3 linked regions of the Oryza sativa Japonica Group genome follow. The protein of the gene in region 3 interacts with the protein of the main gene of each other region in a pairwise test. Links are inferred from orthologs where the notes say so. Each region holds a gene or a part of one and is shown on either strand. Other genes may lie near its edges.

Region 1 (3,071 bases), about 960 kb from region 3:
TTCTTGTGCATACGCGTGTAAATCGATCCAATCTCCAAATTAACAGAAGCAGACGCTTAATTGAAATCGACTTTTATAGCATAGTACGTAGCTGATGCTACACTGATAGATTCGATATCATCGAGATCGACGAGTACTGATCGAGCTGGTTAACTGACGGCTACTTGTAACTGCATCTCTGTATATATGTACCTGCATATCTGCACGTTCGGACAAAGCGTCGGTGTTCAAGAAGCTATCGAGAGACTGATCGATCGATCGAGCAGTTGAGAAACACAAGCAATCAGTGAACACAAGCCCTCACTTTCAAAGCAAGAACACACAAGTCAATCGCAGACGATGACTCACGAGAGAGACGGACACGGCACACGACGTACTCCACGTACACGCACAGTTAAGCATGTACAGCGAACAAGATGTGACACGAGCAGCGATTTGATTAACTAACCTGTAATGAATCGATTAATTAACCTTACTAATTTGCAGATCAATTCAACCGTACGTGCACATTACCGGTCACGATTAAAACGGGATTATAATAACTAACTGAATTTTCTTAACGACGTTACAAACTGATGACAAAAACACAAACTATTTCGATTTCGAAAGGAGGAATACTGGATCTAGTAGTAGCTAGAGGTTTATGTGGTTTAGTTACAAGCGAGCAGATTAAGATTGAGGCCTCATCCGGCTAGATGGCTTCGCCGGGATGATCCGAATCCTCCTCGCCACACGGACGAAATCCCTGACATGGATGTATTGCAGGAGAATCAGATCAGATGAACAGCACACAGAAATGCGTCAAGAATAATTCAGACAAAGCACGAGATGAACACGAAGTGAGATTAACAAGATGAGTGTGAAGCTAATTACTTCCAGTTGAGGTCGCCGGCGAGGAGGAGGTCGTTCTCGATGTCCTCGTACGCGACGACGTGCCCTGGAACGGCATTGGACAGGTCGAGGCCGCCACGGTCGGCGTCGCTGCAGCTGCTCCTGCCAGCTGCCTCGTCGGCGGCGCCGACGTCGTCGTCCGCGTCGACGAACATGCGGCGGAGCGCGGCGGCGAGGCTGCGGTAGCCGGTGTGCTTGCTGAGGTGGACGCGGTGGCAGATGGAGCGGCCGTCCAGGACGACGGTGACCGGCGGCACCACGCCCGCGGTCACGTCGTCGCCCTGCTGCACCGACAGCCTCAGCATCTTCCCGCGGTGCTGCTTCTGCCGCCTCTCCTGCTCGGACGTCGTCGGCGCCGGTAGCCGCCGCTTCGTGTCCTGCTGCTGCTGCTGCTCACCGCCGGCGCCGCTTATCATGGGACGATGGCGGCCGGCGCGATTGATCGAAGAGCTCGCCGGCGCGGCGCTCGTGGCGTGTGGGCGGCGCGGTTGGTTGTGCGTGTGTGTGTGAAGAGAGGCACAGACGCACAGTGAGAGGGGGTGGGTTAAATAGGATGAAGTGGAGTGATTGGAGCACCGTTCTGTGGAAGGTTAATTGTGTCTTTGCCGTGTGAAGCGTGTGACCGTTTTGTAGGAGAAGATGGAGTCATAGAGGCTAGAGTGGAGCTCACTATTTGTATGTTATCCAATTGATTAAAATTTAGCTTGTATAACTTAGAAAAATAAATTAAACTATGGCTAACTAACGTATACTTACATTCAAATTTATTTTTTCAGTTGTAACTTGTAGAAGTTAAATTTGATATTAGTGATTTATCATATATTAATCTATCTTATTAAATTTTTTTATAATTATTTAGATGACATGTAAATAACGAGGAGATATCCCTCGAAAGTTAAGTTTAGAATAGTTTTCGTGGAGTGTGGAGCTAAGGTATGGTTGCAAATTAACGAGATCACTGTACTGCATTTAATACAATACCAGTATTCTTTTCAGTTTTTCTTTTTGTCGTAATGAACTTGGTTTCAATTCAAAATTATATATTGAGAATTGCTAGTAATTAACTAGGGACGACAATAATTCATTTCAATTGAAGAAAGACAGTCATGGGTGCGCTACAGTGCTAGTACGTGCACGGTGTGTGTTATATATATATATATATATATATATATATATATATATATATATATAACACACACAAACACACAAGTAAATTGCCAGCAGGGACGACCGGTGGGACGTCGATCGGGTTGCTTGCAAGTGAGTAAAGGGGTCGAGCAGTAGTGCAGTGCCAGCAACCAACCAAACCCGAGACAGGAATTAAACAAAACTAGCCTTCTTGCCATTTTCTTTCCCCCTGGGGATCGATCGATCGGGTTAGCCGCCCGGGGCGTGCGCGCGCGTCCGCATGCAGCGGCGTCCGGAGAGAAACGAAGAAAAAACGGGAGTCTGCTCGTGCAATCCCGGAGGTCGTGGTGGGGGGCGCGCGCACCGCACGAGACCACCGCGGATACCGTGTGCCGATCGATGGACCTTCGTATACGTGCGACTCGCGCAGCTGGCCGCTGCAGGTCGCGCGGGGGCTTCTCGCATGCGCATGCAGCATCTCGATCGGCGCCGCCCGCGCGGCGACCGATCTAGCTAGCTCGCGTACGTACGTTTCTCCGGTCTTTGCACCCGTCGTGGTAGCTGGAAAAACGGGCGGCCGCGCGGCCGGGGAGACGTTGGATTGGAGCTAAGCTACGGAGTACTATGCGCGGTTGATTTGGTGCGAGAAACATGTGAGTTACAGTTACTGCTGCCTCTATCGTTGTGGTTGGTTGAATTGTGCTCTTACCAGGTCTGTGTTAGAGCAAGTTCAATAGTATAGTCAACTACTAGTTCCAATTTATTTATAGTTAATCTAATAGCTCATTTATACAATAGTTACATACTACACTATTAATATCTGGTCCCACCTATCATACACACACTGCGCTTTGGAGTTTGTGCTACAACTGGCTACAAATCTGTAGCCCGCTGCTCTTAATTACATGAATATTGCGTCTGTAGTAAATTAAAGGTCATAAATAATGTCCGTGTGGATTAAATTCGTGATCGCGCGCACGTACGGTCGTGTGCGTGCAGATCGATCGATCTGGGTGTGATACAGTGTACACCTACAGCGCGTAAGTTAACGT
Region 2 (3,931 bases), on a different chromosome or scaffold from region 3:
ATCAGGAAATTAATCAATCATGCAAGCAAATCTGAAACCAGACAGGGACTCTCCATCTGACATATGCATCAATCTTCATCTCCCAGCTCATTTTCCTTGCTGCTTCACACACACATGCTTGGACCCTACTACCCTCTCAATCTCCAGGCATTATGTTCTCCATTAGCCAAAACCCATCACACCATCCCAGAAGACAAGGAGTATAGTGCCCTTGCATTGGATGCTACTCTCTGAACTCCCTGTTTCTCTCTCTCTCTCTGATCAGAGTGAGGCTAAGCTAGATGGATGATAGCCTTGACCAGCATTAATCTTTTCCTTGGGTTTCATGTGCACCACATGTAGTCTGTCTGACTAGCTCTAGACAGGTGCATGTTACCATTGCTGGATGAGTTGTGTGTGTGTGGGTGTGTAGTTTCAGGCACACAGATTAGTTCAGCACTGACCATGGAAGGCTTGTCCCTTGATGACCAGCTTGATCTATCTGCCTCTCTGGCTAATAAAGCTTAATTACTTTGCTTGGTTTTGTCACTCTTGACAAGTGGATCAATGGTTAATTAAAGATTTAACTGGATCTTGGATTGTTAAAACTGTTAATCTCTCCCTCCGTACATGTTTAAACCTGCTCAAGGGTCAAGACAAGGAGCATCTGATGAAAGGACAAGATTTGGACACACCAAGCAGTTGTATATATTTATAATTTTCTTTTACTTCAGTCACTTGGGTGAATCATAGCTTGTCCCTTTTTTGCAAAGTGATGCTGTCTGAAGAGGAGAAAATTGTCTTGTGTTCTCTGCTTCTTCTTGGAAACAGAGCAATGACTGATGGCTTAAGTTTGTGCCTCCTAATTGAGATTCAGAAAAACCACCAAGAGTGTGAAGGATTAGTGGACTAAGTGAGCATATGGTGAAGTTGTTACTGATTAGTTAACCATAATGAACGATGCAGAAGTAATTTTCTGCCGTTCTTGCAAATTGATGATAATCTGGATGGAAATCAAAGCATTGAAGCCAGAGGGAGAAGTACACACAGCCCATGCATACATGCATTCTTCTTCCCTCCAGTTACAAAAGTAATCAACCATTCATGTAAAAGAAAAAAGATGTTTGCTTTGTACAAACACACATGGAGGCTCAACTCGAACCTCCATTCCTTCTGTGTTTTCTAACACCTAATTAAGAGGAAAAAAACAAATTAAAGCCACACATCCACACATGCATGCATGCTTTGCAATCTGATGACTCCAATTAAGCTTCACATATTTTTTTCACTGCATCTTTTTTTTTTTTGCTTTCCTTTTCTTTCTCTCTCTCTCTTTCTTGAAGGTTGCAATGAGGAGATGAGATGATTGCATGTCTTGGAGAACCCAAAAAGAACAAAAGAATTGCTCATGCACACATGATGATGATTTCTTCTTGTTGTTGTTCAGTTTTTAACCCCTTGTTGCTCCTAGGCCTCTTGCTTCAGACCCCTTCATGATCCTCAACCTCTTGCACGTACTAATGAACATCCTATTAAAAAGACAATCATAGAGTTAATTAGAAATAATTCAAGTAAATAATTGACTCATACTATAAGTCGTTCCAATTTTCTCTGATTCATATTATAAGCTGTTCTGATTTTATTTTAGGCAAATTTTAAGTTTAACCCAAATTTATAGAAAAACATAGTAGCATTTAAAAAGACAAACATATATACTATCAAAATATATTAATGTTAGATTTAATGATACTAATTTATGATACTAGAAGTTGTAAAAAAAATTTATTAAACTTAATTAAACTAAAAAAAATTGGAAGCAACTTACTCGAATGGGACGTCGCCGACGAGCATGAGGTCGCCGTCCTTGTCCTCGTAGGTGACGGCGAAGTCGGACGGGTTGACGGCGGCGTCGGCGGCGGCGCCGCCGGAGAAGCAGAGGAACATGGCCTCCAGTGCCTCGCGAAGCTCCCGGTAGCCCTTGTACACCTTGAGGTCTATCTTCCTCAGGTATGGAGCTCCGTCCATGCTCACCTTCACGAACAGCCCACCGGCGCCGGCGACATCCTCCTTCTGCTGCGTCTCCGCCGCCGCGGCAGCCGGCGGCGGCTTGCTCTTCGTCGTCGTCGTCGTCGGCTGGAGGCAGCTCTTCCTGTACGACCTCACCGGCGGCCATCCCACCACCTGCGCCCTGCAGCAGCAGCAGCAAACACGACACGTATCAGAGCTAGCTCTGCCATCCATGGCGGCGACGGCGACGAAGACGAAGAAGAACTTGATATTAATTACTTGGCGGCGGCGGCGGGCTTGATCTTGGCCTGATCAGGCTCGCCGGCGAGGGCGCGCTTGCTTCCGGCCCTGGGCGTCGACGGCGGCGGCGCCGCCTCCTCCTCCGTCCCCGGCAGCCCGAGCCTCAGCTCCGTCGCCTTCAGATTCTCCATGATCGATCTCTCCGGCGAACTCACCAACTAAACTCCGACGAGCTCCTCCTCCTCTTCTTCCTCTTCTTCTTCCAGCTAGGTAGCTCGAGACGATGAGCTGTGTGACCTCTGACTTTGTCTTCGTGGCTGCTAGCTGAGCAGCAATGGCGATGTTTTATAGACCTAGCTAACAAACCCTAGCTATGTGAAGAAGCACACACATGTGGATGTGAGCACACGAGTGCATGTACGTACATCCATACGTGCCACTGCCAGGCCACACGCTTGGGAGGGTGGTTGTGGGGGTAGCTAGGGTGCAGCCATGAGGGCCATGCCGGGTCAGCCCGCGACAGGGGCGGGCCGACCCCGTGGGCCCCCTGACGCCTCATGCAGATTCGTCGGGTAACGGGTTTCGGGTCCCCCACTACCCTATTGTTCATTGTAATACGGGGTCATCGGTTATTGATCCTCGTAACCCTTATCCGATAAGTGTTATTTATAATGTATGCATTGCTGGCACGAGTTTAAGAATCCAGCCTACTATGTACCTAGTTGCAGCATTGTTATTGGGTATGGATCGTTTTCTGTACCTGTGGATCCGGATAATTAGTTAGGGGGTCTGAAGGTTTTTTTTTTCTTGAGATAGTTAAACAAGGGTGCCAAAGCCATGATTAGGATGCTATCATTAGAGATCTTTGGGGGAGCATCTTTTGGCATATACAATGCTGTTTCCCCCTCTCCATATTGTCCAATAAGATATAGTGGCATGGAACAATGTAACATGGAGTGTATACATATGTTGCAGTATTCTATTGCATGCTTCTCATCATGTAGTGTATCCCCTTGTGAATCTCTCTCCACTACCTTTTGTTTCTTCTTTCTTTGGCCTTTCTTCTTTTGGTGTTGGCCATGGGGGCCTAGGGAAATTAAAACACCTAGTGGCTGCTTGTTTAGTGCAAACATTATTTCCCAATTTCTGAGTACTGTTAGTTGTTGTTAATTAACTAACCCTTTTTATTTGAAAGCTAGAAGCTGCAAACTAAAGTATGGTTTGTTTGCACCGGTGCTGTTTCTTTAACTAACCAAAGCTAAGCTAGCTGCGGCCTCTCATATTTTTCAGATGAGAGCAAGCAGCTGGTCCCTTGCTTAGGGGTAAATTAGTTAATTAAGCTTTAATTAATTAATTTGGCCTATTGGGTGTCATGAATGGTTGGTCCAGCTTGAAAGAAAACTGAAAAAATATTTGCTTGGCTTTACAAGTTTATTTCACTTGTCTAATTGACAATTTAGTAATTAACATATATCTGCACTAGCCAAAAACAGTTTAGGATCCATCAGAGTTCATGCAGAGAGTACTGGTTGATCTGTAGATCGATGTTCCTAATATTGACAAGACGATTGATCTGTCCCAACTTGTTACATTTTATATCCTTTTATTAACTATGAAAAGTTCTCACCATCAATCTATGCAAGATACTGTGATGTACAGTGTCTCATTCATGTGTGCAGTGAACCAGTCTCTTCCCTGTAACTAC
Region 3 (4,384 bases):
GATGATGATGATGATGATGACGACGACGACATGGGTTAAGGAGGCAAGGTTAGCTGTAATCAAACATATGTGTACGTAGGAGGACAAGCATACAAGGACTGATTATATAAGCATCACAAGTGGCTCCCAGTTAATTAAGTACTACTAGTCGCTAATCCGCAGGCAGCTCTTTAAGTGGAAAAAAAAAGATAGTACTTGATTAGTCTTGTCATGATTATGGTATTTTTGACTAATTGTGATTTCCAACTCATAAAATAGAAGCATCAAGTACATAATTTTTTATACCTATAATATATGTCTCTTATTAACATAGAAAGTAATGTCTCGAGATATTTATGTACTAACTCGATGGACCCGTTCCTACTTTTACCATGGCTTTTATTAGACAGACTGTAAGCACTATAGTCAGCGCATCGAGAAAGTATGTCCCAAGATACCTAATGCTCCCCTCTCTGTTCACCGGAGCTCTACGTATATAAAATATTGCCTACACCTGGTTGAATATATTCTGTTGAGCGATTAACATTCTATGTAGTAGGAGTACTCCCTCCGTCCCACATAAAACCCATTCCTATCATGCTAAGGTGAGACTAGTGAAGAGTAAAAATGACTAAAATACCCTTTTATTATTGAAAAAAATAGTAATGTTGAAAGGTAGGTAAAGGGTTTTTAAGGGAGAAAACTTTTCGTTTTATGTGCCAAGGTTAGGTAGGATGGTAGAAGTTGATTTTTTATGGGACAAAATTTAAACTATAGAAGTTGATTTTATTTAGGACGAAGGGAACATATAACAAAATTAGCACCATAAGACCATATTGTTAACCCAAATAATGAAATCAATACTTCATGATACCGGTAGAATCTGGAGGACGGGACTGGACAAACACGTAGGAGGAGCAGTACTAGCTGTAACACAGACGGGGAGGAGTTCACAAACCAACACGGGCTACAGGTTACAAGGAACGGTAGTAGTACTCCAGTGATACAACAGTGGTGCCCCACGGGAACACCAGTCTGCGCTGCGTGCGATGGAGAGCTGCATATGCCGGGATGGTGGATGGATCTCTCTCATCACCATTAGAGCATATATAATAGCAGACTATTAGCCAGATATAAACATATTTTAATAAGATAAGTGATCGCGGGCTATAGATATGTAGCCAGCTGCAGCACGAACTTCAAGACACAATATATGTAATATGTGAGACCATATATTAATAATATATTAAATAATTATTGTACGAATTAGCTATTAAATTGGTTATAGATGAATTAAAGCTAGTAGTGAACTATACTATTATACTATTAAACTTGCTCTTACGGCCGTGGTTACACCGACCCGACAGCCGCTTACATGAGCCCATAAAATACGGCTTTTTCAAAACCCCCTCGCTTCCCAACTTTTTAAAAACTCTTCAGACACTGTGCGGGAGCTCACGCTACTGTACGGCCCCCTGCGCTGCGCCCCCCCTCGTCGCGCACACGCACACACGCACTCGCACTACTCGAACCACGCGAACCCCTCTCTTTCTCTCTCTCTCTCTCTCTCGCTTAAATGCCACAAACCTAATCATTTCCACCCCTCTTGCGCTCTCTCTCTCTCTCTCCAACCCCACCCTTTCTCCCCACCATGGTGGCGATCTCCGAGCTCGGGTGAGCGGAAGAGAAAGGTTGGTTGGTCCCTTGCCGGCGGGGTGGGGGTTGGATTGATTTTGCTTTGCTTTGCTCTGTGGTTTGTTGATGCTTGTTGTTGGTGTTGGTGTTGGTGGTGGTGGTGCAGAATGCGGCCGATTTGAGGAGGGGGATGGGGTTTTCGGGTGGATTTGTGAGGGGATAGATTAAGAGTTTGTGCTTCTCTGGTTTGGTCGGAGGAGGAGGAGATGAGCTCGTCGTCGGCGGCCAGCATCGGGCCGCCGCAGCCGCCGCCGCCCCCCGCGCCGCCCGAGGAAGGTGGGTGGCTAGGTTTGTTTCCGCCGCTTCGCTTCGCGGTTCGCTTTACTTCCCTTCTCGTTTGGTTGATGACTCGATCTGCTGCTGCTGCTGCTGCTGCAGAGAAGAAGTGCCTCAACTCGGAGCTATGGCACGCCTGCGCCGGCCCGCTCGTCTGCCTCCCCACCGTCGGCACGCGCGTCGTCTACTTCCCGCAAGGCCACAGCGAGCAGGTGAGGCTGAGCTCACCTCCTCAGCCGTCTCGTGGGCGCGCTTGCTTTGCTTCTCTCTCTCTATCTCTGCTGGTTTCTCTTGTTTCTGACGCGGGTGAGCTTTGCATACGTGAAGGTGGCGGCGTCGACGAACAAGGAGGTGGAGGGTCACATCCCGAACTACCCCAACCTGCCGGCGCAGCTGATCTGCCAGCTCCACGATGTCACAATGCATGTACGTGGTTCCTTGCCCTAATTTCTCGGGGCATTTCTCAGATCGATGCGGCGTCACCTCCACTCCACTCCTCCGGTTTATCTCCATGGCTGTCGGTGCTGACTTGGGCTGGCAATTTTTTTGCAGGCGGATGTGGAGACTGACGAGGTGTACGCGCAGATGACGCTCCAGCCACTGAACCCAGTAAGGCGCCTGGGGTTTTTGCATGATGTTTGCAGTGCTGAGGTTTTGATGGTTTGAAGGCGTGAAATATTCTAAGCGGTTAATTTGATGGTTTTTTTGGATGTGTTCATTCGTGCAGCAGGAGCAGAACGATGCGTACCTTCCCGCGGAGATGGGGATAATGAGCAAGCAGCCGACGAATTACTTCTGCAAGACATTGACGGCGAGCGACACCAGCACGCACGGGGGGTTCTCCGTGCCCCGCCGTGCTGCTGAGCGCGTCTTCCCTCCTTTGGTGTGATGAGTGGTGTAATTTGGGGCTGTGCTCCTTTCTTGTACTTCTTGGGTGGTTGGGTTTTGCTGTTGCCAATAACAGGTGGTATAGTGTGGTTTGTAGGATTTCACACAGCAGCCTCCAGCCCAGGAGCTAATTGCACGGGATATTCATGACATCGAGTGGAAGTTCAGGCACATCTTTCGAGGTAACTTCTTAAAAATCTGTAGAGCTTATGGCAGTCTTGAATTCTTCATAACGGTGAATTATGATATTCTTAAAGGGAATTTCCTAATAATCATCTCTGCCCCTTTTCCATTCGATAAGTTCACCCTTTGTAATCATGGCTTAAAACCTTCCTAATAAAAACGTTTTCAAGTGTTCTGAGAAAAACTTCAACCATTCTCACACAATGTGATGTAAGCGTCTTTTTCACTTAAAAATCAGTTGGTGTGAATGGAGCAAGAGATACTTGATTGAATTAGGGTTATGCATAGAAATGAAGTTACGAGATCATTAATTGGATAAGCACATAAAAAATATCAAATTTTAATATGTTAGGATAGTTAGCAGTGGATCAAGTTACAATTGACATATGAATACATGATACTTTCAGAGGCGTACTGAAATATTTACTAGAGTTCGCAGGTCTTACAAAATTGCACAATGAGCAATCACTGTACTGGACAGTATAATTCTCGGTGTAGGCTTCTTTTTGTATGCCTTGAATTCCCATCTTTCTGCAGGGTTGAACTTATTGTTAGTGTGTTTTCTGACACAGAATGTACTTTGTATTGATCACAATAACTAAAAAAATGTTGTCTTAACATAAATGTTGATAGTACATATGCTTGAGGTACTTGTGCTGTATTGATTATGAAATGGGATCTGCTCAACACTAATGATGTTGTTAGTAATTGTGTTTAGTAGTTTTATATTTTTGAACATGCCATGTTACTATCTTTTGTAGTAATATGCTGTTTTTGACAGGCCAACCCAAACGACACCTGCTAACCACTGGCTGGAGCGTTTTTGTCAGTGCTAAGAGACTTGTTGCTGGAGATTCTGTGCTTTTCATATGGTTTGTTTTCCATCTCTCTTGCATTTGTGATTTTCTTTTTTACCTGTGCTAATGAGTAGGGCGCATTGTTGATTCTCTGACTCAGGAACGAGAAAAACCAGCTTTTACTTGGAATAAGACGTGCCAGTCGGCCACAGACTGTGATGCCTTCCTCTGTTCTTTCAAGCGATAGCATGCACATAGGTCTCCTTGCAGCAGCAGCTCATGCTGCTGCTACAAACAGCCGTTTCACTATTTTCTACAACCCCCGGTAAGTTGGACTTTTAAATTAGTATATATGCATTGTTGTTTTTCCTCCCCATGTACACCGTTAATAGAAAGAGTGTTTGTAGGGCAAGTCCATCAGAATTTGTCATACCACTGTCAAAATACATCAAGGCTGTTTTTCACACCCGGATATCGGTTGGGATGCGGTTCAGGATGTTGTTTGAGACTGAGGAATCAAGCGTTCGCAGGTGACCTAGCAAATGTCAATGCTCAGTCCTTATTCT

Evidence for each region.
Region 1: the proteins of auxin response factor 12 (region 3) and auxin-responsive protein IAA33 interact in a two-hybrid assay, tested with the Arabidopsis thaliana proteins (2 studies listed by BioGRID). The link is inferred for Oryza sativa Japonica Group from reciprocal best matches to the Arabidopsis thaliana genes ARF8 and IAA33.
Region 2: the proteins of auxin response factor 12 (region 3) and auxin-responsive protein IAA31 interact in a two-hybrid assay, tested with the Arabidopsis thaliana proteins (2 studies listed by BioGRID). The link is inferred for Oryza sativa Japonica Group from reciprocal best matches to the Arabidopsis thaliana genes ARF8 and SHY2.

The regions. Positions count from the first base shown.
Region 1 is NC_089038.1:33,839,265-33,842,335, reverse strand, and holds auxin-responsive protein IAA33, read right to left. Parts: upstream 1,490-3,071; 5' UTR 1,308-1,489; coding exon 874-1,307; intron 746-873; coding exon 670-745; 3' UTR 517-669; downstream 1-516. UniProt on the Arabidopsis thaliana protein: Aux/IAA proteins are short-lived transcriptional factors that function as repressors of early auxin response genes at low auxin concentrations.
Region 2 is NC_089046.1:26,036,795-26,040,725, reverse strand, and holds auxin-responsive protein IAA31, read right to left. Parts: upstream 2,546-3,931; 5' UTR 2,418-2,545; coding exon 2,266-2,417; intron 2,168-2,265; coding exon 1,805-2,167; intron 1,509-1,804; coding exon 1,430-1,508; 3' UTR 529-1,429; downstream 1-528. UniProt on the Arabidopsis thaliana protein: Aux/IAA proteins are short-lived transcriptional factors that function as repressors of early auxin response genes at low auxin concentrations.
Region 3 is NC_089038.1:34,802,787-34,807,170, reverse strand, and holds the start of auxin response factor 12, read left to right. Parts: upstream 1-1,437; 5' UTR 1,438-1,670; intron 1,671-1,780; 5' UTR 1,781-1,880; coding exon 1,881-1,962; intron 1,963-2,052; coding exon 2,053-2,162; intron 2,163-2,277; coding exon 2,278-2,376; intron 2,377-2,502; coding exon 2,503-2,559; intron 2,560-2,677; coding exon 2,678-2,833; intron 2,834-2,935; coding exon 2,936-3,020; intron 3,021-3,332; exon of another isoform or gene 3,333-3,552; intron 3,553-3,802; coding exon 3,803-3,893; intron 3,894-3,978; coding exon 3,979-4,143; intron 4,144-4,225; coding exon 4,226-4,348; intron 4,349-4,384. UniProt on the Arabidopsis thaliana protein: Auxin response factors (ARFs) are transcriptional factors that bind specifically to the DNA sequence 5'-TGTCTC-3' found in the auxin-responsive promoter elements (AuxREs). Seems to act as transcriptional activator.